Linked DNA regions of Xenopus tropicalis. The protein of the gene in region 4 purifies or fractionates together with the protein of the main gene of each other region. This does not show direct contact. Links are inferred from orthologs where the notes say so. Each region holds a gene or a part of one and is shown on either strand. Other genes may lie near its edges. The genes, in order: copb2, rps3, aurka, nfkb1, spag9, sp1 and ikbkg.

The links.
Region 1: the proteins of nfkb1 (region 4) and copb2 purify together in Homo sapiens (affinity purification with mass spectrometry; 5 studies listed by BioGRID and IntAct, with this or other methods). This does not show direct contact. The link is inferred for Xenopus tropicalis from reciprocal best matches to the Homo sapiens genes NFKB1 and COPB2.
Region 2: the proteins of nfkb1 (region 4) and rps3 purify together in Homo sapiens (affinity purification with western blotting; 3 studies listed by BioGRID and IntAct, with this or other methods). This does not show direct contact. The link is inferred for Xenopus tropicalis from reciprocal best matches to the Homo sapiens genes NFKB1 and RPS3.
Region 3: the proteins of nfkb1 (region 4) and aurka purify together in Homo sapiens (affinity purification with mass spectrometry; 4 studies listed by BioGRID and IntAct, counting the BioPlex papers as one, with this or other methods). This does not show direct contact. The link is inferred for Xenopus tropicalis from reciprocal best matches to the Homo sapiens genes NFKB1 and AURKA.
Region 5: the proteins of nfkb1 (region 4) and spag9 purify together in Homo sapiens (affinity purification with mass spectrometry; 5 studies listed by BioGRID and IntAct, with this or other methods). This does not show direct contact. The link is inferred for Xenopus tropicalis from reciprocal best matches to the Homo sapiens genes NFKB1 and SPAG9.
Region 6: the proteins of nfkb1 (region 4) and sp1 purify together in Homo sapiens (affinity purification with western blotting, with the first as the bait; 3 studies listed by BioGRID). This does not show direct contact. The link is inferred for Xenopus tropicalis from reciprocal best matches to the Homo sapiens genes NFKB1 and SP1.
Region 7: the proteins of nfkb1 (region 4) and ikbkg purify together in Homo sapiens (affinity purification with mass spectrometry; 4 studies listed by BioGRID and IntAct, with this or other methods). This does not show direct contact. The link is inferred for Xenopus tropicalis from reciprocal best matches to the Homo sapiens genes NFKB1 and IKBKG.

The regions. Positions count from the first base shown.
Region 1 is NC_030681.2:128,419,605-128,423,104, reverse strand, and holds part of copb2 (coatomer subunit beta'), read left to right. Parts: coding exon 1-53; intron 54-197; coding exon 198-405; intron 406-513; coding exon 514-624; intron 625-923; coding exon 924-1,138; intron 1,139-1,722; coding exon 1,723-1,815; intron 1,816-2,059; coding exon 2,060-2,240; intron 2,241-3,303; coding exon 3,304-3,369; intron 3,370-3,500. UniProt on the Homo sapiens protein: The coatomer is a cytosolic protein complex that binds to dilysine motifs and reversibly associates with Golgi non-clathrin-coated vesicles, which further mediate biosynthetic protein transport from the ER, via the Golgi up to the trans Golgi network.
Region 2 is NC_030678.2:172,182,969-172,187,120, reverse strand, and holds the start of rps3 (40S ribosomal protein S3), read left to right. Parts: upstream 1-1,352; 5' UTR 1,353-1,387; coding exon 1,388-1,417; intron 1,418-3,334; coding exon 3,335-3,465; intron 3,466-3,843; coding exon 3,844-3,937; intron 3,938-4,152. UniProt on the Homo sapiens protein: Component of the small ribosomal subunit. The ribosome is a large ribonucleoprotein complex responsible for the synthesis of proteins in the cell. Has endonuclease activity and plays a role in repair of damaged DNA.
Region 3 is NC_030686.2:6,094,793-6,097,296, forward strand, and holds the end of aurka (aurora kinase A), read left to right. Parts: intron 1-719; coding exon 720-894; intron 895-1,152; coding exon 1,153-1,332; 3' UTR 1,333-2,004; downstream 2,005-2,504. UniProt on the Homo sapiens protein: Mitotic serine/threonine kinase that contributes to the regulation of cell cycle progression.
Region 4 is NC_030677.2:73,654,988-73,659,035, reverse strand, and holds the start of nfkb1 (nuclear factor NF-kappa-B p105 subunit), read left to right. Parts: upstream 1-1,248; 5' UTR 1,249-1,554; intron 1,555-4,048.
Region 5 is NC_030686.2:46,700,446-46,703,945, forward strand, and holds part of spag9 (C-Jun-amino-terminal kinase-interacting protein 4), read left to right. Parts: coding exon 1-7; intron 8-304; coding exon 305-478; intron 479-629; coding exon 630-771; intron 772-1,028; coding exon 1,029-1,121; intron 1,122-1,253; coding exon 1,254-1,421; intron 1,422-1,553; coding exon 1,554-1,725; intron 1,726-2,185; coding exon 2,186-2,410; intron 2,411-2,693; coding exon 2,694-2,886; intron 2,887-3,102; coding exon 3,103-3,228; intron 3,229-3,500. UniProt on the Homo sapiens protein: The JNK-interacting protein (JIP) group of scaffold proteins selectively mediates JNK signaling by aggregating specific components of the MAPK cascade to form a functional JNK signaling module.
Region 6 is NC_030678.2:146,984,287-146,988,277, reverse strand, and holds the start of sp1 (transcription factor Sp1), read left to right. Parts: upstream 1-1,191; 5' UTR 1,192-1,240; coding exon 1,241-1,247; intron 1,248-1,554; exon of another isoform or gene 1,555-1,902; coding exon of another isoform or gene 1,903-2,002; intron 2,003-2,329; coding exon of another isoform or gene 2,330-2,332; coding exon 2,333-2,412; intron 2,413-3,991. UniProt on the Homo sapiens protein: Transcription factor that can activate or repress transcription in response to physiological and pathological stimuli.
Region 7 is NC_030684.2:25,684,779-25,688,939, reverse strand, and holds the start of ikbkg (NF-kappa-B essential modulator), read right to left. Parts: upstream 2,801-4,161; 5' UTR 2,602-2,800; exon of another isoform or gene 2,492-2,601; intron 1-2,491. Other genes in the region: g6pd (glucose-6-phosphate 1-dehydrogenase), read left to right, coding at 2,983-3,004. UniProt on the Homo sapiens protein: Regulatory subunit of the IKK core complex which phosphorylates inhibitors of NF-kappa-B thus leading to the dissociation of the inhibitor/NF-kappa-B complex and ultimately the degradation of the inhibitor.

The DNA.
Region 1 (3,500 bases), on a different chromosome or scaffold from region 4:
AGACTCAACTACTATGTGGGAGGAGAGATTGTTACTATTGCACACTTAGATAGGTGAGTAACTTTGCTGCATAGGAGATCTGGTGAGAAGGTTAAGAACATCATTATTTGGATCTTCTGATTACAATAGAAATACATTAGTAAATACAGTATGTATATCATTTTCAAAAAAATTAAGCTATTTTTTTCATTCCTCAGAACCATGTACCTGCTTGGTTACATTCCCAAAGATAACCGCCTCTACCTTGGGGACAAGGAGCTCAATATCGTCAGTTACTCACTGCTTGTATCAGTCTTGGAATATCAGACAGCTGTCATGAGAAGAGACTTCAGCATGGCTGACAAAGTAATCCCAACTATCCCCAAAGAGCAGAGGACCCGGGTTGCTCACTTCCTGGAAAAACAGGTAAAGACTGGGCAAATGGTGACTGGAGTTCTGTTAGTATTTGGGAGGTGATGCTCTACAGTGTCAGGGGCCCTCTGCTTGACTTTTTATCTTTTTCTTTGTGAACAGGGTTTCAAACAACAGGCTTTGGCTGTGTCCACAGATCCTGAACATCGGTTTGAGCTAGCACTTCAGCTGGGAGAGCTTAAGATTGCCTATCAGCTAGCTGTGGAAGCAGAGGTAAAGTAACCACACTTTGCTGACTGGGTGGCTTTAGTTGTACTGGTCACTATCACAGCATTTTTTAAATCCATAATTACATTATTCCAAGGTGGGTTTTTAAAAATCCCAGATCCTATTTTGATCTTAAATACTTGGGGTATTGCTTTGCCCACCTGCATCGGCTGCCTTTACCTACATTAAAGAGAGTTAATTGTAAGGTAAGACATAAATGGCAGTGATTATTGTAGGAAGCTTTATATAGAGTTTCTTTGGTTCTTACTGGACAGATTACAATTCTCTGCCTTTTTCCTTAACAGTCAGAGCAGAAGTGGAAGCAGCTGGCAGAGTTGGCCATCAGCAAATGTCAGTTTGGATTGGCTCAGGAGTGCCTACACAGTGCCCAGGACTATGGTGGGCTCTTACTCCTCGCCACCTCTTCAGGGAATGCCACCATGGTGAACAAGCTGGCTGAAGGTGCAGAGAAAGATGGAAAAAACAATGTAGCTTTCCTAAGCTATTTCTTACTGGGGAAGTAAGTGGTGTCCGGTGTCATGACAACATTAAAATCTGGTAACTTTGTCCCTGACAGTGTCAGAGAAATCACTTGAGGCTCTGAATTACTTGTCCTACAGAGTTCATTATTTTGTATGCAACAATGTTTGCCTTCATTTATACCTTTTCCCTAAAGTATATCCTTCACTATTTCCCAGTTCTGCTAATTGCATTGCCTTATTTTTCTCAGGGGCCTACAGTCCCAATCCCTGGGTAGCTCAATATTTGTATTTATTTTTTTACAGTGCCTAATAGCCGCCATGGTATGGTGGTCTGGGTTGTTTTGCTGCAGTCTTTACCACTTTGTGTTGGTACCTGACCCAGTAAAGGGTACTTGTACAAACAGCACTGAACAGTAAAACAATACATTAATAGGTGATACAAATTACAATTTCATTAAGGTTAAGTGATAGGTCTTAGAGACGAGGAAGAATGTCCCTGTCCCGTAGCGCTTACAATCGCATTCATGAACCAAATATTCGTAATACCAATAATATCTGCTTGTATTTGTATTACAAAATATTTTCAATTTATATCCTAATTTACTGAGCATTTCATTTCTAGATTGGACTCCTGCTTGGAGCTGCTCATTTCTACAGGCCGCTTGCCCGAGGCAGCATTTCTGGCAAGAACCTACCTGCCAAGTCAGGTGTCCAGGTAATAATGTATAAGATGTTATATTTGTTATAGTTATACCAGTGAGTTATGACCTAGGCAGTTCAGGTATTCTGTGAGTTGAAGGGCAGAAATCTTTGCTTCTCTATGGATATTTAGACAGCAAAATGTAGGGTTGGGTTGCAAACAACATACCCTTACATTTTTTCAGTAATTTAAGGGGGAGCATGATGTCAAGAATCAGGGAGTGTATATTTCAGATATGTTTTTCTTGTGCACTCTTCAGGGTGGTAAAATTATGGAAAGAGAGCCTAGGCAAGGTCAATCAGAAGGCAGCAGACTCTTTGGCAGACCCCACTGCATACGAAAATCTCTTTCCTGGTCTAAGGGAAGCCTATGCGGCAGAACCATTTTTGAAGCAGAACTCGGGCATTCTGCTTCCAGCTAAGGAATATCGTCATGTGACTGTAAGTAACTGGGATATACCTGAATGCAGTTATTTGTACAGTGTTAATATTGGTGGTACATGTATAAGGCAGATCTCAAGCTCTGCACAGCCCAGTCCTTTTTTTGTATTGGGCCTGTCATCACTGACAAAAATAGTTGTTTGTATTACTATAATGTCTTTGTTAAATGTATAATGAAGCAGTAGAATTCTTAATGAATCAGATGAAAGTGAGTGTAGGACTGGCCAGACCAGGGATGACTTTGACGTAATTGGCCAGCTCAGATATATTGCAATATATGGACAAACAATCCCTGTTTTACTTGGTAGCTTAATGCACTGAATGTCTTAATGTACTATATATATTGATAAAGGGTGAGTAAAGAGGACCTCTTGTTGCTGTCTGTGTGAATACTGAGCACCATTTGTTATTTAGAGAGTTAAAGGTTGTGCAGACTATTAATAAACAATGCAAACAAAATAGGGAGGACTGTAAACAGAATATTCATACCATTTAGTTTAATATTCAAATTGAATAACAATTTACTCAAATTAAACTAACTCTTGAGATCTAAGAAGGGCCAGACAGGCTATCTGCAAGTTTGGATATATGGGTCTGAACTATTAGACTGTATCCATGCTATTAAACCAGTTCTGGGTGCATAGTTGGCCACAGGGACATTAAGGAATCCTTTGCATGTCTCTGCCTATAATGCCATAAGTGATGGTCAAAGCCTTTCAGTTTTGGATTTAAGGTAGTGCTATGTGTGTAGCATTAGGCATGCAAATATTATTATTAACATTTATTTATAAAGCGCCAACATATTCCACAGCGCTGTAAATACCTTCTGTTTTAAGAAAGCTGTCAGTGCTTGTCTTGGGCTTGGTTTGTTCCCTCTCTCCCTAACCAATATGGTTATTTTGCTTTGCATCAAAAATATAATTCAACTTCTAGAAAGCATCCCTAAATTTGTCACCAGTTTTCTATAAATATGTAAATCTTAGATAGCAGACAACCAGAGGCTGAGTGATGCATTGTACATACATGTATAGTAATAATACATCCTTAATTTTTGCTCTTTTAGCCAAACGAAGAGAGAAATATCTTGTCTGAAGCAAAGGGATTTGATCCATCAGAATCCGCCTTCACTGTAAGTTGTGGTTCAAACAGTACCAAGGAAAGCAGGAAACCACTATTTCCATCCAATAGCATTTCCTAATATTGGTGAACTAACACACACCTATATCTATATTGGAGGGGTGGATCTATAGAATTAGCAAT
Region 2 (4,152 bases), on a different chromosome or scaffold from region 4:
GATTGGGGGCTTGGGGGCAATATGATGGCTGCTGACACAGGTACAGATTGGGGCTTGGGGGCAATATGATGGCTGCTGACACAGGTACAGATTGGGGCTTGGGGGCAATATGATGGCTGCTGGCACAGGTACTGATTGGGGGCTTGGGGCAATATGATGGCTGCTGACACAGGTACAGATTGGGGCTTGGGGGCAATATGATGGCTGCTGCTGGCACAAGTACTGATGGGGGGGGCAATATGGTGGCCACTGGCACAGGCACATGGTGGCAATGGCTGTTGGCACAAATACATGGGGCAATGTAATGGCTGCTGGCACAGGTACATAGTGGCTTTATGATGGCAACTGGAACCAGTACATGGGGGCAATATGATGGGGCAATAAAAAGGCTGCTGGCAGCCTGGCACAGGTACATGGGGGCAATCAGGAAGGGGGGGGCACTCATTGAAGCCCTTGCCTAGGGTGCCAAAATACCTTGGCCCGGCCCTGCCGCATCGGCTCGTTGATGAGGTTCCCGAAACAGCTGCATCTATTGCCGGCATTCTTATTCAATTGTTTGGCCCCAGGGCCAAGTCAGATATTCTTCAGGACTGCTAATCATCTGCCCTGCTGCTACATAGTTTCAGGAGTCAGAACCACCATGGCAGATAATATAAACAGCAACAGCAAGAGGGATACTACTTTCAATAGTAATTACATTCACAAATAACTGAAAAATATCATGAATTTGTAAATATAACATTTTTTTAATCTTCCTGAAGTAAATTTTATTTCTATAAGGACCTTTGGAGAACTGTCAAATGCCAGTGGTGGGGGGCCCTATATGATTGGACAAGGGGGAAGGGCTTCCTCAGAATGGGGCAAGGGGGGTCCCTAGTGGGACCAGATCCGACATTCAGAGGTGACAGGCAGTTTCCATGTATCTACATGAGAGATGGCACACAGTGCTTCCTGCAGACTGAAATGTTACCTGAGCCATCGGCCTTTATTATTTCTGATTATATTAACCCTTTACATGAGTGGTTATTGCACTTTGCTGACAGACGACTAAATGGCAAAGTACAGGAAGTGTTAGGCGTACATTGTTTGGCTGAGAGTTGTAGTACAACAAGAGCTGTTGAGATATATCTATAAAGTACCAACTACTAAGAAAGGCAAATTTAGAAATTTGGGAACACATTTTCAAGAAAATCAATATTTTTTGCAAAATGTTTCCCCTACGGCAAACAATTTCCTACGCAAAAATCACCGGTGAAACTCCTATGCGCTAAAACTACATATCCCGTGGGGCATTGCGCGCTGAACGCACACTTTCCTGTCACACTCTAGGTATATAGCAGCTTCCGCCGGAAGTGGCCTCCCTTTCCTTCCAGCGGCGCTTCGCAAGATGGCGGTGCAGATCTCTAAGAAGAGGAAGGTAGGCTTAAAAAAAGCGCTCTTTTATAGTGTGCGGTGGGACATTGTAGGGCAATACAGTTAGCGCTGGGTCCAGGGGGCTCCGGAGGGTGCAGGGAAGCATAGAGCGGGCAGATGGCTGTGCCTGCGGGGTAGATGGATGGAGATTGAGTCGGGCCTGAGAGTCCGGAGCTGACATGGCTGCGCGCTGTTTGGCCCCAGGCAAGCCGGGTATGTGTGTGGGACTGTGATACTGAGATAGGAACGTCTGTTTCCTATTGGCTACACCTAGTTGGTATAGATAGGGTTAATGAGACTCTCTGTACCAACTATTTGTGTGTAAGTTACCCCTGTATTACTGTCTGTCTGTCTCCTATTCACTATTATTGCCCTGTACCCCAATGTCTCTATCTGTAACCTTGTTATGGGCTAAGGGGGCCCAGCCTGAAGGCCAGTTAGGGGGGGATTTGGGGTGAGTGTTTATTTGTGCCCTGGGTACCCCTGGAACTATAGCGGGGTGACTGTTACCCCAATGTTTCTATATATCTGTAACCTTGTTATGGGCTAAGGGGGCCCAGCCTGAAGGCCAGTTAGGGGGGGATTTGGGGTGAGTGCTTATTTGTGCCCTGGGTACCCCTGGAACTATAGCGGGGTGACTGTTACCCCAATGTTTCTATATATCTGTAACCTTGTTATGGGCTAAGGGGGCCCAGCCTGAAGGCCAGTTAGGGGGGGATTTGGGGTGAGTGCTTATTTGTGCCCTGGGTACCCCTGGAACTATAGCAGGGTGACTGTTACCCCAATGTTTCTATATATCTGTAACCTTGTTATGGGCTAAGGGGGCCCAGCCTGAAGGCCAGTTAGGGGGGGATTTGGGGTGAGTGCTTATTTGTGCCCTGGGTACCCCTGGAACTATAGCAGGGTGACTGTTACCCCAATGTTTCTATATATCTGTAACCTTGTTATGGGCTAAGGGGGCCCAGCCTGAAGGCCAGTTAGGGGGGGATTTGGGGTGAGTGCTTATTTGTGCCCTGGGTACCCCTGGAACTATAGCAGGGTGACTGTTACCCCAATGTTTCTATATATCTGTAACCTTGTTATGGGCTAAGGGGGCCCAGCCTGAAGGCCAGTTAGGGGGGGATTTGGGGTGAGTGCTTATTTGTGCCCTGGGTACCCCTGGAACTATAGCAGGGTGACTGTTACCCCAATGTTTCTATATATCTGTAACCTTGTTATGGGCTAAGGGGGCCCAGCCTGAAGGCCAGTTAGGGGGGGATTTGGGGTGAGTGCTTATTTGTGCCCTGGGTACCCCTGGAACTATAGCGGGGTGACTGTTACCCCAATGTTTCTATATATCTGTAACCTTGTTATGGGCTAAGGGGGCCCAGCCTGAAGGCCAGTTAGGGGGGGATTTGGGGTGAGTGCTTATTTGTGCCCTGGGTACCCCTGGAACTATAGCGGGGTGACTGTTACCCCAATGTTTCTATATATCTGTAACCTTGTTATGGGCTAAGGGGGCCCAGCCTGAAGGCCAGTTAGGGGGGGATTTGGGGTGAGTGCTTATTTGTGCCCTGGGTACCCCTGGAACTATAGCAGGGTGACTGTTACCCCAATGTTTCTATATATCTGTAACCTTGTTATGGGCTAAGGGGGCCCAGCCTGAAGGCCAGTTAGGGGGGGATTTGGGGTGAGTGCTTATTTGTGCCCTGGGTACCCCTGGAACTATAGCGGGGTGACTGTTACCCCAATGTTTCTATATATCTGTAACCTTGTTATGGGCTAAGGGGGCCCAGCCTGAAGGCCAGTTAGGGGGAGACTTGGGGTGAGTGCCACTAATGGAACTGTATATATATATCGGGCAAATGGCAGGTGTTATTGGTAAGGGACATGTGCGAGGAGTTAGTGACATTTGTATATTAATTAATGGCTCTCTTTGCAGTTTGTCGCTGACGGCATCTTCAAGGCTGAACTCAATGAGTTCCTTACTCGGGAGCTGGCTGAAGATGGCTACTCCGGTGTAGAGGTCAGAGTCACCCCAACCCGGACTGAAATCATCATTCTCGCTACCAGGTAACAAGTTGGATCTTTATTTCAATCACTTTTATATTATCTCACATTATCTGTAGTTGCATTCATTTTGGTGATGGTGACGTATAGATATGATATATAGGATACAAAGCCAAGACCTGTTATTATCCTGATTAGAAACTGTGCATTAGAATTTACTGCAGGTAGGATAATGGCTGCGTAGGGTTTATCATCCTTCCAGAAGACTAATACACAGTTCTCCCAGGATTGTGGGTATAAGTAGAATATATGGCGAAGCAAGCTGGCAGTGATATTCACTATGGGGATATCCACAATTTCAAATAGTTCCCTTCCAGAACAGCTTGTGTTTGGTTGTGTGCATTGCTGCTTTTGTAACTCCGTTCCGTTTCCCACATGCAGAACCCAAAATGTTCTGGGTGAGAAGGGCAGGCGCATCCGTGAGCTGACTGCAGTTGTTCAGAAGAGGTTTGGATTCCCTGAAGGGAGTGTTGAGGTAAGTGATCTCTCTGCCCGTATTAACTACAGAGCATTTAAAGGGTAGGAGTGTGCTATTTACATAAGGGCCCCTGTAACAGCCCCCTTTCCCCACCACACCACCCACACTCCTCCAACCCACTACCCCCCATACCTTATAATAAAAGGCAGAGTAGTTGGTGGTGGGCATTGCTTGACAAGTCAGGGCTGGATCAGCTGCAAATGTGCCTGGCC
Region 3 (2,504 bases), on a different chromosome or scaffold from region 4:
GGGTGAGTGCTTATTTGTGCCCTGGGTACCCCTGGAACTATAGCGGGGTGACTGTTACCCCAATGTTTCTATATATCTGTAACCTTGTTATGGGCTAAGGGGGCCCAGCCTGAAGGCCAGTTAGGGGGGATTTGGGGTGAGTGCTTATTTGTGCCCTGGGTACCCCTGGAACTATAGCGGGGTGACTGTTACCCCAATGTTTCTATATATCTGTAACCTTGTTATGGGCTAAGGGGGCCCAGCCTGAAGGCCAGTTAGGGGGGGGATTTGGGGTGAGTGCTTATTTGTGCCCTGGGTACCCCTGGAACTATAGCGGGGTGATTGTTACCCCAATGTTTCTATATATCTGTAACCTTGTTATGGGCTAAGGGGGCCCAGCCTGAAGGCCAGTTAGGGGGGGGATTTGGGGTGAGTGTTTATTTGTGCCCTGGGTACCCCTGGAACTATAGCGGGGTGATTGTTACCCCCAATGTTTCTATATATCTGTAACCTTGTTATGGGCTAAGGGGGCCCAGCCTGAAGGCCAGTTAGGGGGGATTTGGGGTGAGTGCTTATTTGTGCCCTGGGTACCCCTGGAACTATAGCGGGGTGACTGTTACCCCAATGTTTCTATATATCTGTAACCTTGTTATGGGCTAAGGGGGCCCAGCCTGAAGGCCAGTTAGTGCAATATCCTGGCATTTCTGAGATCTGGATCTTTCCATTTTGCTTCTCTTCAGGAGGACCACTCTGTGCGGAACCCTGGACTATCTCCCTCCTGAGATGATTGAGGGCCGAATGCACGACGAGAAGGTGGACTTGTGGAGCCTGGGAGTCCTCTGTTATGAGTTCCTTGTAGGGAAACCTCCATTTGAGACTGACACCCACCAGGAAACCTACAGACGTATTTCAAAGGTATCTTTCTATATCCCCCTTAGTACTCCCACCTCCGTGCCCAACATACGGACAGGCAGGGTGCTCCCATCACTGGGGTGAGGTGCTTCACTATTATAAATATCAGTACTGATTCCAACTAGACTGGCTATGGTCAAACTGGTCTTGTTACCACTAAATCTGATGGGGGGGTCTAAATACAAACATGACATATTTAGTGCTGCGCTTCATACCCCTTCCCAGTATAACCCCCCCTCCCAACTGCTTTATTTTCTGCAGGTTGAATTTCAGTATCCTTCGTATGTATCGGAAGGAGCCAGAGATCTCGTATCGAAGCTGTTAAAGCACAACCCAAACCACAGGCTGTCCCTGAAGGGGGTTCTCGAACATCCGTGGATCATAGATAATTCTGCTCAAAAGCCCAAGAGGAAAGAGGGGCCGGTTACAGGGGCTCAATAGGAAATCCCCTGTGGATCTTTACTTTCCCAAATGTGAGAAGGCACAGCAATTTGCACCTGCTGGATACCCCCCTGCCCTGTTTAATGGGGGGGGGGGGGGGTCACAATCTGGCAACTCACAGCTCAGTATTTGCTTATTGACTCCAACACAAGGCAATGTACCATGGAACACTCACCGCCTTGCGTGCCTTTTGTGAATGGGACTAGACTGCCTGATCTGGAACGACGGGTTCTTTAAAGGGGCCACGAGGCCCGGTGCTTTATAACTTCTATCGTCACAAACCACTGCTCTGCTACTGGCACAGGTTCCCTTTACTATGGATGTTTAACCCCAGATGCGGCAGTTATAAAACTGTATACGCACTGACAACTAAAATCTGCCGGTTCCGACACCACTGATTGATTATACAGAGATTGTAAGGTTTCCTTGGCCGGTGCAATAGTGATGTGAATGCCTTGGGTATATTTATTAGGCTGCTAATATGGCTGTCCCATTACACAGCTGCTCTGAATACTGAGAGAATGAATTCAGTGTAAATACCTATTCTGTATCAACTTATATCTCGTCTGTCCTTTTATGTGTTAACAACACTTTTTAGAAAAGCATAAAAATCTGTTCTAAGATGCTCCCTTTTCTTTCTGTGTTTTAAAATAAAGCTGATTGAAAAAGTTACTGCCAAACGGTGCCTTTCTCAGTTAGGGAATGGGTGGCAAAATGGGCTGGTACCCCGAAATCCATAGATTCCAATGGGGGGAAGAAAGAAGGGCAAAGACATGGGGCTCCCCTAAGCAGGAAGATGGTACATTACTAGTCTGACACTAGCCCAGATGGGTCAGTAAGCATAGAGCCATGAAGGTTATTATAGAATAGGCTGCCTACAGGGCTACTGGCACTTTATTGTGAGTTGGAAGCCTGCAACATGACTGTTACCCCAATGTTTCTATATATCTATAACCTTGTTATGGGCTAAGGGGGCCCAGCCTGAAGGCCAGTTAGGGGGGGATTTGGGGTGAGTGCTTATTTGTGCCCTAGGTACCCCTGGAACTATAGCGGGGTGACTGTTACCCCAATGTTTCTATATATCTATAACCTTGTTATGGGCTAAGGGGGCCCAGCCTGAAGGCCAGTTAGGGGGGGATTTGGGGTGAGTGCTTATTTGTGCCCTGGGTACC
Region 4 (4,048 bases):
ACCCAATAGGACTCTTTTGCCTCCAATAAGGATTCATTATATCTTAGTTGGGATCAAGTAAAAGGTACTGTTTTATTACTACAGAAAAAAAGGAATAATTTTTCAAAATGTAAATTATTTGCTTATAATGAAGTCCATGGTAGATGACCTTCTTGTAATTCAGAGCTTTCTGGATAATGGGTTTCCGGATAAGGGATCCCATACCTGTACTACCATTATGTAATACACAACTCAGTCTCAGTATTCAGCCCTTTTAAATTGTCCTTGGTTGTTGGAACATTTCCCATGAATTCTAAAGTTTATTAGTTACTCTAAAGTTGACCATTAAGATAAAACTATGATTTTCATATATCTGCAACACTGAAACATTATTTTTAAATAATATGTGAATTTTGCAATACATTTTGCAAAGTAATTAATAAATACAGATAAAGAGAGTTGTCTGTAAATGTATAGCTATTGTCCTATACCAGATATAAGGCATAAGACTGATTATTTGGTGTACTGTATATAGAACAATGAATCATTAACACAAAAGGGGTCATTTATAAACTCAAAGGTAGGGTGCAAAGTGCAAAAAGATGGTGAATTGCACCCTGCCTTTCAGTTTGTAAATGACCCCTTCTGTGTTAATGATTCATAATTCTATAAACCGAACAATCAGTCTTACAACGTTCATCTGGTATAGGAAAATATCTATACATATACAAACAACTTTAATCCAGACAGGCCATGTGTTCAAAGCAGTGGGATTTTCATTTAGGGTGCCATCTTTGCCATACATATATGCTGCCCTATGCTGCACAAACAGGCAGCATAGGGCAGGCAGAGTATGGCACACACAGGCAGCATAGCGCAGGCAGAGTATTGCACACACAGGCAGCACACATTGCATCTTTATGTTCAGTTACTCCCATTCATTGCCTTGGGCCTTAGGTTTACTGTAAAAGGAAGGCAAAGAAGCCAGGCGGGTAGGCCAGCATTGTGCTGCTTACTCCACACACCTGCAATGCCATTCCTATGGAATAAAGTAGCATGGTCTCTGTGCTGCCCAAGGTACTAAATGTTTATTGTACAGTCAGGACACGTGTGCAAAAAGGGAAAGCTGACAATCGGCGACAGAGAAAGAGAAAAATACGCATAGAATAAAGTTGCATCGTGTTACTCTCTGGCCTCCCACCGGTCGAAGTGACAGCAAGTGGGAAATTCCAGGCAGGAAGTGAGAACAACAGCTACTTCTTCTCTATGATGGGCAGAAGAAGCCGCACAAACCCCTCCAGCGGGGAGGAGGCGAGAGGCTGAGCCCGCCCCGAGCAAAGAGAAAACAAGGAAACTGAAAGAGGCAGGAGTGCGGCTGTGCGCCCGGGCTCTCACTTTTCTGCCCTTCGCTGCAATGGACAGCTAGACAGGAGCCTGCTGAGGAGGTGTCATTCATTATCTGGCTCGCACGGCAGCGCGTCCTGTCCATCACCAACACGCAATTCTTTGCATTACTGCGGCTGTCACTCATTTACTCAATCGGGAAAGACGGCCAGTAACTATAACCAGTGCAAGGTAAGAAGGAAGCTGATATAGAAAACCTTTGCTTGCCTGATGATGGGTTCCAGTCACTGAGTGCCAAAGTGCATTCATCGGAGCTGAGCTTACCCTGAGGCACTTCCTTGTATGCCGGCGCACATGTGCGCAATATTGTGCCCCCCGGGATTCCTGCCCCCTGTGTTGGAGCCTACCAACTGGGCAGCCCTGCTCTAATGTTACACTGCTTTAAAGGCAAAGGTTGTGCTTAATACAGGGGGAAATCATTGATACAGCTCAGAACACCTCTCTTCCCAAGCCTCTTACACTTCTACTTCCTTGTGATTCTGTTTCCCCAACGGTGATAGGGACAAGAGTAATCACTCAGTGGGTGTGAGCAGTGTCCATATGTGCTCTAGAAAAACTGTCAGTGATGGAAGAAGCGTGATGCTTGGGGTTAACACACAAACTGCTCATTGGGAGCCTGGCTTTTGTACCATAGATGCTACTTTGTATGAACAAACAACTGCTGAATTTGTATCAACAAAAACATCTTCACTGAATCTTGATAAATTACAAATCTTTTCTGTCTGCAGCTTTCTTTTTACCTATAACATTTGCTGCATCTTTGTGTTACATTTAAGTGAGAGTGATTTGTAAAGCATTACTCTCTTTTTAATAAGGTAATGCAAGATAGACAGAATAGACTGGTGTAGTGTAATATGAGGCCTTTCTTTGACTTTTGAACGTTTGCTTGCATCTGTTTTGGTCCAGGCTCCTCAGATTAGCATCTACTAACTTCTATCCATTAGGCTTTCTCTAAAATAAACAATCTCAGCTATACTGTATAAAAAGAGTAATAGCATAGATATTAAGGAATAACAGTTTATATTCACAAGTTATGTGTCACAATAGAAATATTCTGCAAGTAGAGAGGACTGGCAACACTGAGCTTAATGTGATGAAAATAATATTGTATTTATCATAGCATGAGCAGCCAATGTGACGTTTTGGCCCCCCTAAGGACCTTACCCATTTAATTTTTCTCTTTAATTATAAAACAGTACCGTGTACTTGATACCAACTAAGAAATATTGAATCCTTTTTGGAGGCAAAACAATCCTGTTGGGTTTAAATAATATTTAAATTATTTTCTAGCAGACTTAAGAGATCCCAATTACAGAAAGACCCCTTTTCTGGAAAACCACAGGTCCTGAGCATTCTGGATAACAGGTCCCATACCTGTATTATTTAGGTTATTCAAGGCTTTTGAGTATTATGAGGATTCTTAACCTATGGATCAGGACCCAGAATAAGGTTCCCATGCTGTTTTGGGTGGGCCTCCATAATTCTTTTTACATTATGAAGAATTTTCAGATACAGGTATGGGATCCCTTATCCGGAAACCCATTATCCAGAAAGCTCCGAATTACGGAATGCCCGTCTCCCATAGACTCCAATTTAATCAAATAATTCAGAATTTTAAAACTGATTTCCCTTTTCTCTGTAGTAATAAAATAGTACCTTGTAATTGATCCCAACTAAGATACAAATAATCCTTATTGGATGCAAAACAATCTTATTGGATTTAATTGCAGTTTTATTGATTGTTTGGTAGACTTAAGGTATGGAGATCCAAATTACGGAAAGACCCCTTATCCGGAATACCCTTGGTCCCGAGCATTCTGGATAACGGGTCCTATACCTGTATAGAAAATAGAAAATTGCAATGAAAACAAGGCAATTTTTTCAGTAACAAAGCTGATTCAGCCATGTCATTTGGGATTTCAGACAAAAAGTTCAAGTAGCACAGGATCTAGTTTATATATCAGTGAAATAAAAAAAACTCTTCTGTCAGCTATATGAACTGGGAGACGTATTAAAAAATCTACCAAATATCTATTACACTTATATACTGTATTTCTATTAGCATACCAGTATTGTGTCTTACCTGGCCAGTCTTTATGTTTAGACACACAACTTGCTAAATATCAATTTATTGCAAATATTGTATTAAGATCAAATATGATGATGAATGGTTGCTGTAAAGGGGATCTCTGCCTAAAAAACCTTTTTGTAAAATGATAGAAAACTTAATTCTAAGCAAACTTCCAATATACGCTGATTAAAAATCAATGCTGTTAATTGCTATTAAAGCAGTATTTCTTTATTCTTTTCTCTCTGGCTCTGGGTTTCAAGAGTCAGAACCAATAGTGCATAGAATACAGTAGTACCCCCATTTTACGTTTTTCAGGGGACCAGAAAAAAATGGTGCAAAATCTGGAAAAATGGAAAATCAGGGAAGTTTATTATGTGTTAAATATTAGTTGGACCACAAAACAATGGTGTAAAATGCAGGAAAACTTAAAAACCACAAAAAATTATTAGTTCATGTATATTTAAAGTTGCATAGAATGGTATTTTCTTTTCTATTGTGTTGTTGAAAACACTTTCAAATTAAAGAGTAGGCACGATGAGTAAACATCAACTGACTGAATGCTGTTTTGTTATGTGCTTACTCATCATCACCTAT
Region 5 (3,500 bases), on a different chromosome or scaffold from region 4:
GGCAGTTGTAAGTGTAAAATTCTATCCCTTGCTCTTGCTATAGACACTTCATCAAATCCTGTATCTTTTTTTAGTAGATCAGTAAAGAGTTGCCTTAGCTGTATCAGTGATGTAAGCACTATCTACCAAGCTGGGCAGACTCACTTTGACTTGATTCAAATGATCATTGTTTGGTAATGCATTTACTGATAGTATATATAGCCACCCACTGGACGGTGCCTGAGGGGGGCAGTAGAGTAGAATAGAGGGAAGGCGGCAGTTTGGACACCTCCCTGAATTACATGCTACTTTCATCCTGTATCAGTTTCAGCCGACTGTTCAGCTCTTCGGCCACCGCCTCGAAAAAGCCAGACACTCCGGTGAACCTCAAGTACAATGCGCCGACCTCACATATCACACCATCCGTCAAGAAGAAGAGCAGCGCTCTCGCTAAGCTTCCCTCCGACAAGTCCAAAGCCTTTGACTTCCTCAGTGATGAGTATGTGCCTCTGAAATACTCCTTTGTTTCATTTGTCCGAATCCCCACAGCTTCTGACCCTCAGACTACCCCCTGACATTAGCAGTGATAACTTACTTGCTCAAAGTTCCTTTAAACGTATTTCAATACGGATCATTCCATTCATTTGCAGCCACTCTAGTGGGAGTGAAGTGGCTCTGGCATCGCGGCGAGAACAGAAGCGTGAGCAGTACAGGCAAGTGAAGGCACACGTACAGAAGGAAGATGGGCGGGTGCAGGCGTTCGGCTGGAGTCTTCCACAAAAATATAAGCCGGTAATGTATTACCCTGTACCGCGTGTGAGACTGGCCCACATAGGGGGGCACAAAGCCTATTAGTGCCTAATAATGCACTTCATTGTGTAAATGTGCGTGCCTCAGTACTAAATTTGAGCCCACAAGCAGAGAGGGCTGAGCTAGATATAGTTTGTTCAACTTTTAGTGTTTTCTTACCTTGCTAGCATTAAACAGCAAGTGGCTTCAGCAGCTTTCATATGGAGTCATTGGAATTGTGTGCTATTCTGATACACTAGGTGGCAAGTGAAGGACAGAACGAGAGCAAAATGAGGAATCTTCCCGTCCCTGTTTACCTGAGGCCTTTGGACGAGAAAGATACTTCCATGAAGGTAAGTGCTTGCTAGAAGGCTTTGTGTATGAATAACGTTTGACAGTCTGTATGTAGCACAAGCAGGACGACTTCTCCCATGTAGGTCTATTCTGTGTCCTCAGTATTCATTTTATCTTTATTTCATATACAGCTGTGGTGTGCAGTGGGAGTCAACCTGTCTGGCGGAAAGACAAGAGATGGAGGCTCAATTATTGGTGCCAGCGTTTTCTATAGCGACGCCCCCGGAGCGGAACTAGACAACCAAAAACCCCGCAGTGACTCTCAGAGCAGCTTGGATAAACTTGAGCAGGAGCTTAAGGTACAATGTTAAGTGCTTCCTAAATCTAACTTCTTTCCTCAGTGCAAACAAAAGTGCTGTCTGTCCCTGACAGTTATTTTTGCCCTGAAAGCTGACAATCAGGCCTCATTCCACCCCCTCTATAACTCCTAGGTGCAACAGAAGGAACTACGGCACCAGGACGAGTTATCGAGCCTTGTATGGATTTGCACCAGCACTCATTCCTCCACTAAGGTCATCATTGTGGATGCCAATGACCCAGGGAACATGCTGGACAGTTTCATTGTCTGTAACTCTCACGTCCTCTGTATTGCAAGCATTCCAGGTGTGATAAGTAGAAAATTATTTTAGAATCGCAACACCATTAAAAACCTTTTATATGAAAGGCACTGTTTAATTTGCAGCCCTGCTTTCTGGTGATGCCTATGACTGATTTAGGCAGGATGGGAGATAAACCCTAATAATATAATATATATAATATATATACGGGAGGTAATTATGGTTACAGACCCTGTAGTCGGGGGCAGGGTGACCCGGTCTGCTTTCTCTATAGTTACCAATAAATCCCACCTCTCCAACTGCTCTCCAGGGAAAGGGAATGCGAGGGACTTGGGTGGGAACTTGGTTGTTGGTAAAGGCCGGGTAGGAGTCTCTGTTCACCATTCCCCCACCAATTTACTATGGGGGGGGGGGTGCAGACTAGTTACTCCACTGGAAATTGAACTATATTTGCATGTTTAAATAATTTTATTACAGGTTTGTAATTCATTATTCACTGATTTCAGGGGCTATGGAAACCGATTACCCCACAGGAGAATCATCAAAGCCGGAATCGGAAACAGGCCAAACTGATAAAACGTCGCTGTCTGAAAGTCTTTTGAGCAGCGGGTCCTCGGGGGCGGAGAACGTTGCAGTAGGAGTCAAAGTGGGAGGGGCATCTTTGGAGGACATAGAACCCTGTGCTGTACAAACGCCAAGCGTCCTGCCAGCTGAGGAGGAAGTCAGTCAAGGTGTGGATATACACTTTTTTAAAGGACAAGTTCTCCATTCCTTTTGGTTTGCTATTGCATTGAATTCTAGAACATTATTCCCTGCCACTGCAGTCTGGTTGCTATGGTCTCTTGCCTCTGGGGGCAACTTAAATGATAGTGCTTGCCAGCTTAGTTATGTTTAAATATTTTAGGTGGCACTGTGACTCCCTTTATCGGGTTATCAATTTGAGTCACTGCTTCAGGATTTGCAAGGTTCTTTGATCCTAAACCCAGGAACACATTGCTATTCTTGTGTTTCCAGATCCCGATTCCACAGACCGGGAACTGGATGACAACGTGGCCACGGCAGAAGAAGCCACAGAGGACACGGAAGTGGGAACTGGCTCCAACGATGATCTGGCTGACATTTCCCAGACAGGGGTTTATACGGAGCATGTATTCACCGATCCCCTGGGGGCACAGACCACAACAGAGGACACAGGCTACCAGCCTAGGTAAGGACTGAATATGGCCAGCACTGATCTAAGTATGGCTATCATCCATTGCTAAGTAAAGTGCAACAGGTTGAACTTGATAGACATTAGGGATGCCCCGAATTCAGGGTGTGTGTGTGTTTTTTTAATCTCATCTACTACGTCATTAGGAAGTGGCATTGGAATTAGAATGCAGATCTTTGTATTTTCCTTTTAACCTCTCTCTTCCACCCCCAGCAATGACTCTGACCTGTATAAAGATGGCATTGCCACATTACCAACTGAACAAGACCTGATGAGAGAGGAAGCCCAAAAAATGAACAGCTTGCTGCCTACAATGTGGCTCGGAGCCCAAAATGGATAGTAAGTAAAATGATGCTTATGCTCTCTAAAGCCCCCACAGATCAATAGGTGGCTCCTTATAAACTTGTATACGCTTCACAAAGTCTTCCTGGGTTGGGGAATATGCAGAAGATGTAGGTGTAATAGTGGCTGACAGTATGGGCACGGCTGTAGCCACTGTAGGTGTTTACTTGGGATTCAGAGCACTTTTGCAGCCCTGGCAAGTCTGACTACTTGAATGTAGACAGTGTTTTGAAAGATACAGTAGAGTCATCCACCTGATTTTGTAGACA
Region 6 (3,991 bases), on a different chromosome or scaffold from region 4:
TTAATGGTGATGGACTCAGTTACACCTTTAGGGCTCTGGCACATGGGGAGATTAGTCGCCCACGACAAAACTTCCTGTTCGCGGGCGACTAATTTCCCCGAGCTGCCTTCCCCTGCCATCCCACCGGCGAAAATGTAAGTCGCCGGTGGGATGGCACACGCGGCGGCGCGATTTAGCACAAATCGCCGAAGTTGCCTCGCGAGGCTTTTTCGCCGATTTGCAGGGGAAGGCAACTCGGGGAGATTAGTCGCCCGCGAACAGGGAGTTTTGTCGCGGGCGACTAATCTCCCCGTGTGCCAGAGCCCTTACAATCTAATAAATACAGCCAGGACTGTTTTCTCAAGAAAAGGCATTCATTTTTTATTGAGCAATATATTTCTATTAATGATAGGACTGACAATGCTTTACTGGACTGGCTGCTTAATAATTATTGATATCAATTTGGAAGAAGTGGCCCAATAAAGAAAATAAGCCTTATATATTGTGCTCGGCTTTATGTAACCTATGTCACTTTTTTTTATTGTTGTAACTCTGATATTTATTCTAAACCTGCTATTTTCTATGCACGACCCGTCCATCATTCCCTCTCTGTATTACAGATAATGCGGCCCCTTTAGTCACGTAGCCACTCAGTCGCAACTCCGACTGCTGCCATCTTGCTTCCTATTTGCACGTAGGCTGATGCCGAATAAAAACGAATACTTTAATAGCTGTGGCCAGTTATTCTAAATAATTAAAGAGCGACATTCTGCAATTCCAGCAAATGGCGCCCAAACCCTACAACGACCAGTCAAACTTTAATTTCCCTTCCCCTCCTCACACAGCTCTTCAATTGCTTGCTTTTCTCGTATGATTCGTCACTTAATGAAACGCCTTGGACTTCGTTCGATTATGATTGGCCCTTTTCAGTGTCACTCTAACCTTGGGAAGGGTTCAGACTAGAGAGCCACCACCCCCGCCACATTCTTTCATCTCCCTCCCCCATCACACACCGCCTCCGTGGCTGGGCGGGGTCACTCCACCTCTAATTGGTCAGCCTTCTCTGTCAGTCTCCAGCTAACTGCACCCACCGCGCCACCCCATTGGGCGGGTGGAGCCGCCCCTCGGCGGGAGTGGTTAGGCGGTCTGTCGATCTCCGCCCGTAGCCCCGCCTACTCACCGTCTCCGCCGCGCGGCAGCCAGGTTAGGTTGCCATCGTCAGCCGAGGTTTGTGTGAAGTACCTACGGCCCCAGAAACAACATGAGCGGTAAGCAGGAGAGTGGGCATAAGGGCGGGAGGTAACGCGGGTTCGCAAGCTTATCCCAGAGCCCCTCCTGGCTTGCTCGCACGCAGCTTGTGTGAGGGATCGCTCCCCCTGGCCACTTTGTGGGCTTTTTGCTGCGCGCCATGACTCGCTGGCGGAATGCTGAGAGCGGCCGGTACCACCGGAGGAGGAGGCGGGGGTGTAGAAATAAAGTCATATCCGCCCTCACTACTTCGTTCGTTCTCCTTCCTCGCCCCCTTTTTACTTTTCCCTATAACTGGAGAGGTGGTTGTGGCGGTAGAACCCCTCCCTGCTGTCCTCCTCTCCCGCCCTGTTTTTCTGCCCCCTTCGGTGGGTGGGGTAGAATTGTAAAATTGCCCCCCGCCCCTCCTAGCATGGTAGCCGGTACTTTTCGTGACACAGGGAAAGGGCAATACGTGACCCTAAAATGTTCCCCGGAACCCGTTGCCTTCGCCTATAATGTGAAGCCTGCGGCCCTCCTTCTGTAGCCCCCCCTGCCCAGAGCAATCCTTGCCTCACACTGGGGATATCTGCCCCTCTGGCGCCCAAACACTCCCAGTATCCGTAGCTGTGGGGTATCTGTAGTTCCCCTGAAACCATTATCCGCCCTCAGCTCGGGCAGTTTCACTGACATCGTATGGATGGGAGGGACCTTCATCCGGTAGATCCCTTCATTAACCTGCTGAACGGGGCCGCTGGGAGTTGTAGTTTGCCTCTGGAGTTGCCATTACTCGCAGGTGAAGCCTATGTAGACCATTTATATTTATTTGTAAATCATTTTACTTCTAGAACGTACTCCTCTACAGAGGGTTGTGGGAGTTGTAGTTCCACAACAGTGCTGCTAAGGCTATCTAGGCTGATAGATGGGAAACATGTTTGTGAGTCTCTTCACTTCCAGTATTGAGAGGTTTGTGAGAGTTGTAGTTCAGCAGTCTGTTTCTAAGCTGAGGGGTTTGTGTTTCTCAGGGAAGTAGGGCCGGCCATGTTGTAAGCCTGTGTGTGCATGTTTACTCACTGCCCTCACTCACACACTCTCTCTCTGTGCTTGTGCCCTTCGCTGACAGCAGATCAGGAGCACACGTCCGATGACATGCCTACGATAAAGTCCGAAAACCGGACAGGAGGTGGATACATCCAGAAGGGGCAGGTAAGCGGAACCCACCCATATTGCATTATACACAGATAGGCAGGGACCATGCCTGGGAACTATCCAGCCCTCTCGCCTTGGCTGCCTGTACACTGGATGAGCATGGGGGAGGGGGGCTGAGGCCTTTTTTTTTTTCCTCCTTTCTCTTTGAGAATGGCTGCTGTCCTCCCACCCTTTGGCTGGCAAACCTCCCACCCCCTGTTCCTGACTGCCCACTTGGGGCAGGCCCCAGAAACCCTTCCCCCCAGCCCTGTCCCTCCTGTTCTCTCTCTGGCTGTCTCCTTGACATGCTGGTTTGTTTACATGCTGGCACTCTTTGTGCTGTTGCTAATACTGCAAATGGCACCTAGGACATAGCCGTAGAAGGGTTAAATTGACATTCACGTTCAGTCTTGCATCTTATTGGCAGCTACATTTTTAATTAAATTCAGCAACTGCATCTGCTGCTTCGGCTGGTGGGGGCCGAGTGTAAATGGCAGTTAGGGTTAAATCTGCTCAGATTTGTAGCAAAGGCTGGAAAGGCAATGCTCCACTAAATTTCACTGAGTGTTATTTTTGCTATTGTGCAACAATAAAATATCACTTACAGCACACACCCAGTTTATTCCATTGTGGGTAGTACTGTCTTTGTACCAACACCCACCTAGGCATGGTTATCTCTGCAGCTTGTGCTGTCTTAGGCCATCGCAGGAGGTGGCGCCCCCAACTGATGATGTTGGATATCTTCCCAACGCTGAACCATGTATATGTAATAGAGTGCTACAGCTATAGAATCCCTTATCCAGAAAGCTCTAAATTGCTTGCAGACCATCATAGAACTAAGTTTAAAGGGCACCTATCACCATTTAGTTTCTTCCCGCCACCAGAGGTGTAGGCTTTAGAGCCCGCATTCTGGAAAACAATAGGTTTTTTTTTTTAAACAGCCCCCACGGGCGGCCATGTTATTTAGCGTGCATGTGCATAATGAGCAAGACTCCTCACTCATTGTGCGCAAATGTGTGACGTAGGAGCAGCACACACACACACACATATATATATATATTATATGTGTGTGTGTTTCCCCCAACCAGAGTGCGGGCTCTATTAGCCTGCACCAGGATGTGGGGAAAGCAATTCGATGTGATATTATGCTAATAATACTAATTTATAAAAATGATTTCCCTTTTCTCTGTAATAAAACAGTAGCTTGTAATCGATAGTATCTTAGCTGCATAAATCTGGGGCAAAACAATTCTTTTGTGTTTTGTATAGTGATGCAAATTACTCAAATCCCTTAAACCTAGGTCCATGCATTCAGGGTAATAGGTCCCATTCAAAGCTGTTTGTTTTTTTTTTTTTTGACAACAAATTTTCTTCCATTATTGACTTTCCATTATATTTATTATTTTAATGTAAAATAAGTAATACTGTGTGTTTTTCCTGGGAATGCACACTAACATGCCTGGGCAATGACCCACCTGCACCATTACCTCTCTCACTAACATTGGGGTAAGCTAAGGCTAATGCCACACGTAGCATATGGTGCATTGGCCTGCCTTCTCCTGTAAGGTGGTCACTCTTTCTACCATCTTTCTGTGTG
Region 7 (4,161 bases), on a different chromosome or scaffold from region 4:
TACCCTAGAAACCTGGCAGTGGTTTGAATAAAAGACTGGAATAAGAGGAGTCTGAGTAGAAAGATAAGGAATAAAAAGTAAAAAAATAACAATAAAATTGTAGCCTCACAGAGCAATTGTTTTTGGCTGCCACAGTCAGTGACCCCCATTTAAAAGCTGTAAAGAGGCAGAAGGAGGGCAAATAATTCAAACATTAAGAGAAATAAATAATGGAGACCAACTGCAAAGTTGCTAGGAATGGGACATTCTATAACATACTAAAAATCCACATAAAGGTGAACAACCTCTTTAAAAGTAGCTTTTCATTTATAGCCTACAAAGGCATTTAGGGAACCTGAGTTTCAGAGACTACACTGAATATACAGGGGTGGAAATTCCCCATGACACATGGGAAAATCCATAGGGCCAGTAAAAATGTTTACCCCACCCCAAAGGCTAGTTATTTGGTAAAACCAGACTGTAAACCATAGTTACCTCTACTAATAGAAAAAAAGAACATAAAAACATAAAACATTATAAACAGATATAGACATCCAACCATAAAGCAAAAGTAAATAGGAAACGGTTTAATAGAAACCAATGACCAGTTCTGAATACCAGAGAAAAAGGGAAAGTCCTGATGACATCACATAGTATATTGGCCAATTATATCTCTCCCATGTTATCAGAAGGAATAAGGAAGTAGTTGTGAATGTTATTGGAGAGACAGCGATAAGAAGGAAGCAAAGAGGAATGCAGCCCAGGTGATCAGTGTCTGCTGTTTGGGATCAGAGCAAAATTACATAATTACAATATGGGATTAAAGGACAATTAACACCAACATTTAATTATTACCTTTCTTACTTTTTATAGTGTCTGCATATTCTGGAGCACTTAAAGAGATTATACATCATTTCCATTAGTTCCTGCCCCAGTGGAGTTTACAATCTAAGGTCCATTTCATATTCCAATCAGCCCCTGCCCAGTGAGCTTGCAATCTAAGGTCCCTATCACATTCTCATCAGTCCCTGCACAGTGAGTTTACAATCTAATGTCCCTATCATATTCCCATCAGTCCCTGCCCCAATAAGCTTACAATCTCAAGTTCCCATCAGTCATTGCCCAGTGAGCTTACAATCTCAAGTTCCCATCAGTCATTGCCCAGTGAGCTTGCAATCTAAGGTCCCTATCACATTCCCATCAGTCCCTGCCCCAGTGAGCTTACAATCTAAGGTCCCTATCTTATTCACACACATTAGAGTCAATTCTATCAGAAGCCAATAAACCTGCCTGTATGTTTTTGAATGAGGGAGGAAAGCAGTGCAGAAAACAGAGAAACTCCTTGCCGACAGTGCCACCTGCACCCTAGGGCACAGCACTGCCCATAATTCCCTTGTTGCTGTGTGCATGTATATATGCCCCTTTATATAGTTTACCATAAAATTATTTGGACTGCTTTGTATTGCAATTGCAGTCTGCCAGACTATCCTCTGACCCCAATATAATGCAGCTGGTATCTCCATTGCCAATGTGCAAGTGGGCAAAAGGGGCAGATGTTGCACCCCTGTAAATCCAGCCATTCACAACACTGCCTATGCAAGCCGACTAACATAACCTGACCACCAGTGTCCACATGACAGGCAGGCTTAAGGTGGCCGATTGTAGCTGCCGATATCGGTCCCTTAGACTGATTCGGCAGCTTATCGGCCCAAGTAGGGGCACAAACGACAGGCCTGCCCGACCGACATCTGGCCTGAAATCGGTAGATATCAATCAGGCAGGTTAAAAATTTTAGTCAGATCGGGGACCGCATCGGCTTGTTGATGCGGTCCCCGACTGAATTAGCCTGAATTCACCCGATATTGCCCACCCGTAGGTGGGGGATATCGGGAGAAGATCCGCTCACTTGGCGATCTCGCCAGGCACTTTTAGAAAATATGCACTGCATCTGCGCCACACACACGCAGTTGGGTCTATTTTTGGCAAACCTAACGCAACTGTAGTAGATGAGTTGCAATTGTGTCAAGAGAATCATCAATTTGTGATTGCAATGACCCCGTAATTCTGGAAAAAAACAGTGCACTGTGGGTAAATTCCACTTTATGCCCTGCGTTTAGGTAAGTGAATGTGACCTATGGTGTATACAAATGCTGCTACTGACAGCTTGCTGTCTAAGCTCTCCTCCATTCCAAATCTCCCTGATTCCCCCTACACTTCACATCATCAGGTACAATTGGTTTTTTAGAGGTCTTTTCATTAAAATAGAGCACAATCAGCTGACTGTCCGACATACCCTATTGCTATTCTCTACACTGCTGGTTCTGACAACTGAAACCTGCATGAGCAATGACTATACACAGGAAGGGATACATACAGCTACCGAGTGCATTTACAAATAGCTGTAAAATCAGTGAAAACGTTGAATGCATGTATGGGTTAGCTGCTTGTGATGTTCTGCTATGGGTGCTGGATCCGACACCCATTCTATTAGTATAAAACCACTTTTAATTACCTACTGTGCAGTAACGCTTAGAGTCTCCACTCACTGTCTCAGGGTCGGCTTCCTCCACCCATTCCTTGAACAAAATGAAACTGAAGTCCAGGTTCTGTCAAGACACTTACCAAAGTGTTTTTGTATCGCTTCCGGGTTCGCTTTCCGTAGATGGTCCAACCCCAGGAAATGAGGCTCACGCTGTTTGACAGTATTGTCGGAAGTGGGGCAGGAGTCCTAAACCGGAAATGAAGCATGGCATGACTGCATTGGATTAGAAAAAAATGTAAGCGGTAAAATGTGCCAATACTCTCCTGATGGCGACCTTCGGCAACATCCCCTCCTTTGATTGGCTGTTTGCCGCTTTTCTCTGTTTTCATTGGGGAACCGTGCTCATGCGGCGCACCTCATGGCGGTGAATGACGCAAGCCACGCCCATGTGGTGGCTAAACCATTCTCTGATTGGTGGAGCGGCGCCGGGGCTGGGTGTAACGCTACAGAAGTAGGCAGAGATGGGGAGCAGTCCCAGTGTGGGTGAGTGAGGGGGTGGATCTCTCACCTGGTGTCAGTGTTCCAGCACTAGAAAAATGTGTGGAAACCTGTTCTCTGTGTGTGTGTTAGTTATAGCGTGTGGGGGGTAGCGGCTACACGAGTAGCACACAGCCTGCTTACACGCTCCGCAGCATGCTTCTTTCAATGGAGAAATTACTGCCATAGAACTGCCACACGCGTCTCAATTAGAAAACCAAATCTGTTAGTGTTCTAGAGCGATGAATCCAGCTGCTAAAGCATTAGGTTTCATATACACCTGTATATATGCATGTCAGGAACCCTGAGCTATATTCTACTATAATGGGATTTTACCAGGGGCCACATTATTCTATATAAGTATCAGTGGGTGGTGCTGTGAATGACATCACTAAGTGCTGATTATAAACAATGACATCACTAGGTGCCATATCTGTATATGAATATTTTTACAGGTTAATCATTGCTCTTGTATGTGTTTAATGTGTGCGCACGTAACTCTGAAATTCATATTGGATCTATGTATATTATATGTATGTATAAGTGATCCATAGTTGGGAACTGTTCCTAATGACCAGGCACTGTGCCAGTTGCTGACCAATTGCAGCATTTTGTTATTCCAGTGATAATAAAGCAATTTTTATGGTTTTCTCTTTCATTTCCCTGCAGAGTCCTCCCTCCTGACCCAAAAACACCTATGTACCCCAATAGGCAGAGGAAGTCATATATATGGCAGCTGCCAACCCTGCTGCTCTACTCTGCCTTAAATCCTGATGTACGAGGAAGCATAAGGCTGGAACTAGGGCTAGGCAGCAGGGGCATGTGACTCAATCACAGTTGGGGGGCACAGGCTGGACTGGCATTCAGGGCCAGAACTAGGGGTAGGCAGAAGAGGCAGCTGCCTAGGGGGCAACGATTGAAGGGCGCCAGGCAGGAGCCTCTCTTGCCTACCCCTAGTTAGTGCTCCATTTTCATTACCCCTGCCGCGGTGGGGGCAATGAACTTTCACATCGCACCCCCCCGCCAAAACACACGGGGGGTGCAATGCAATAGTGCAGGGACTAGGTGGCCACCCGGGTTGCCTTGGGTGGCCGGTTGGCTCAGTCCACCCCTGCTGGCATTCCAAGTACACAGAGGCCCAAACAGCCCCCACCAGCCCAATA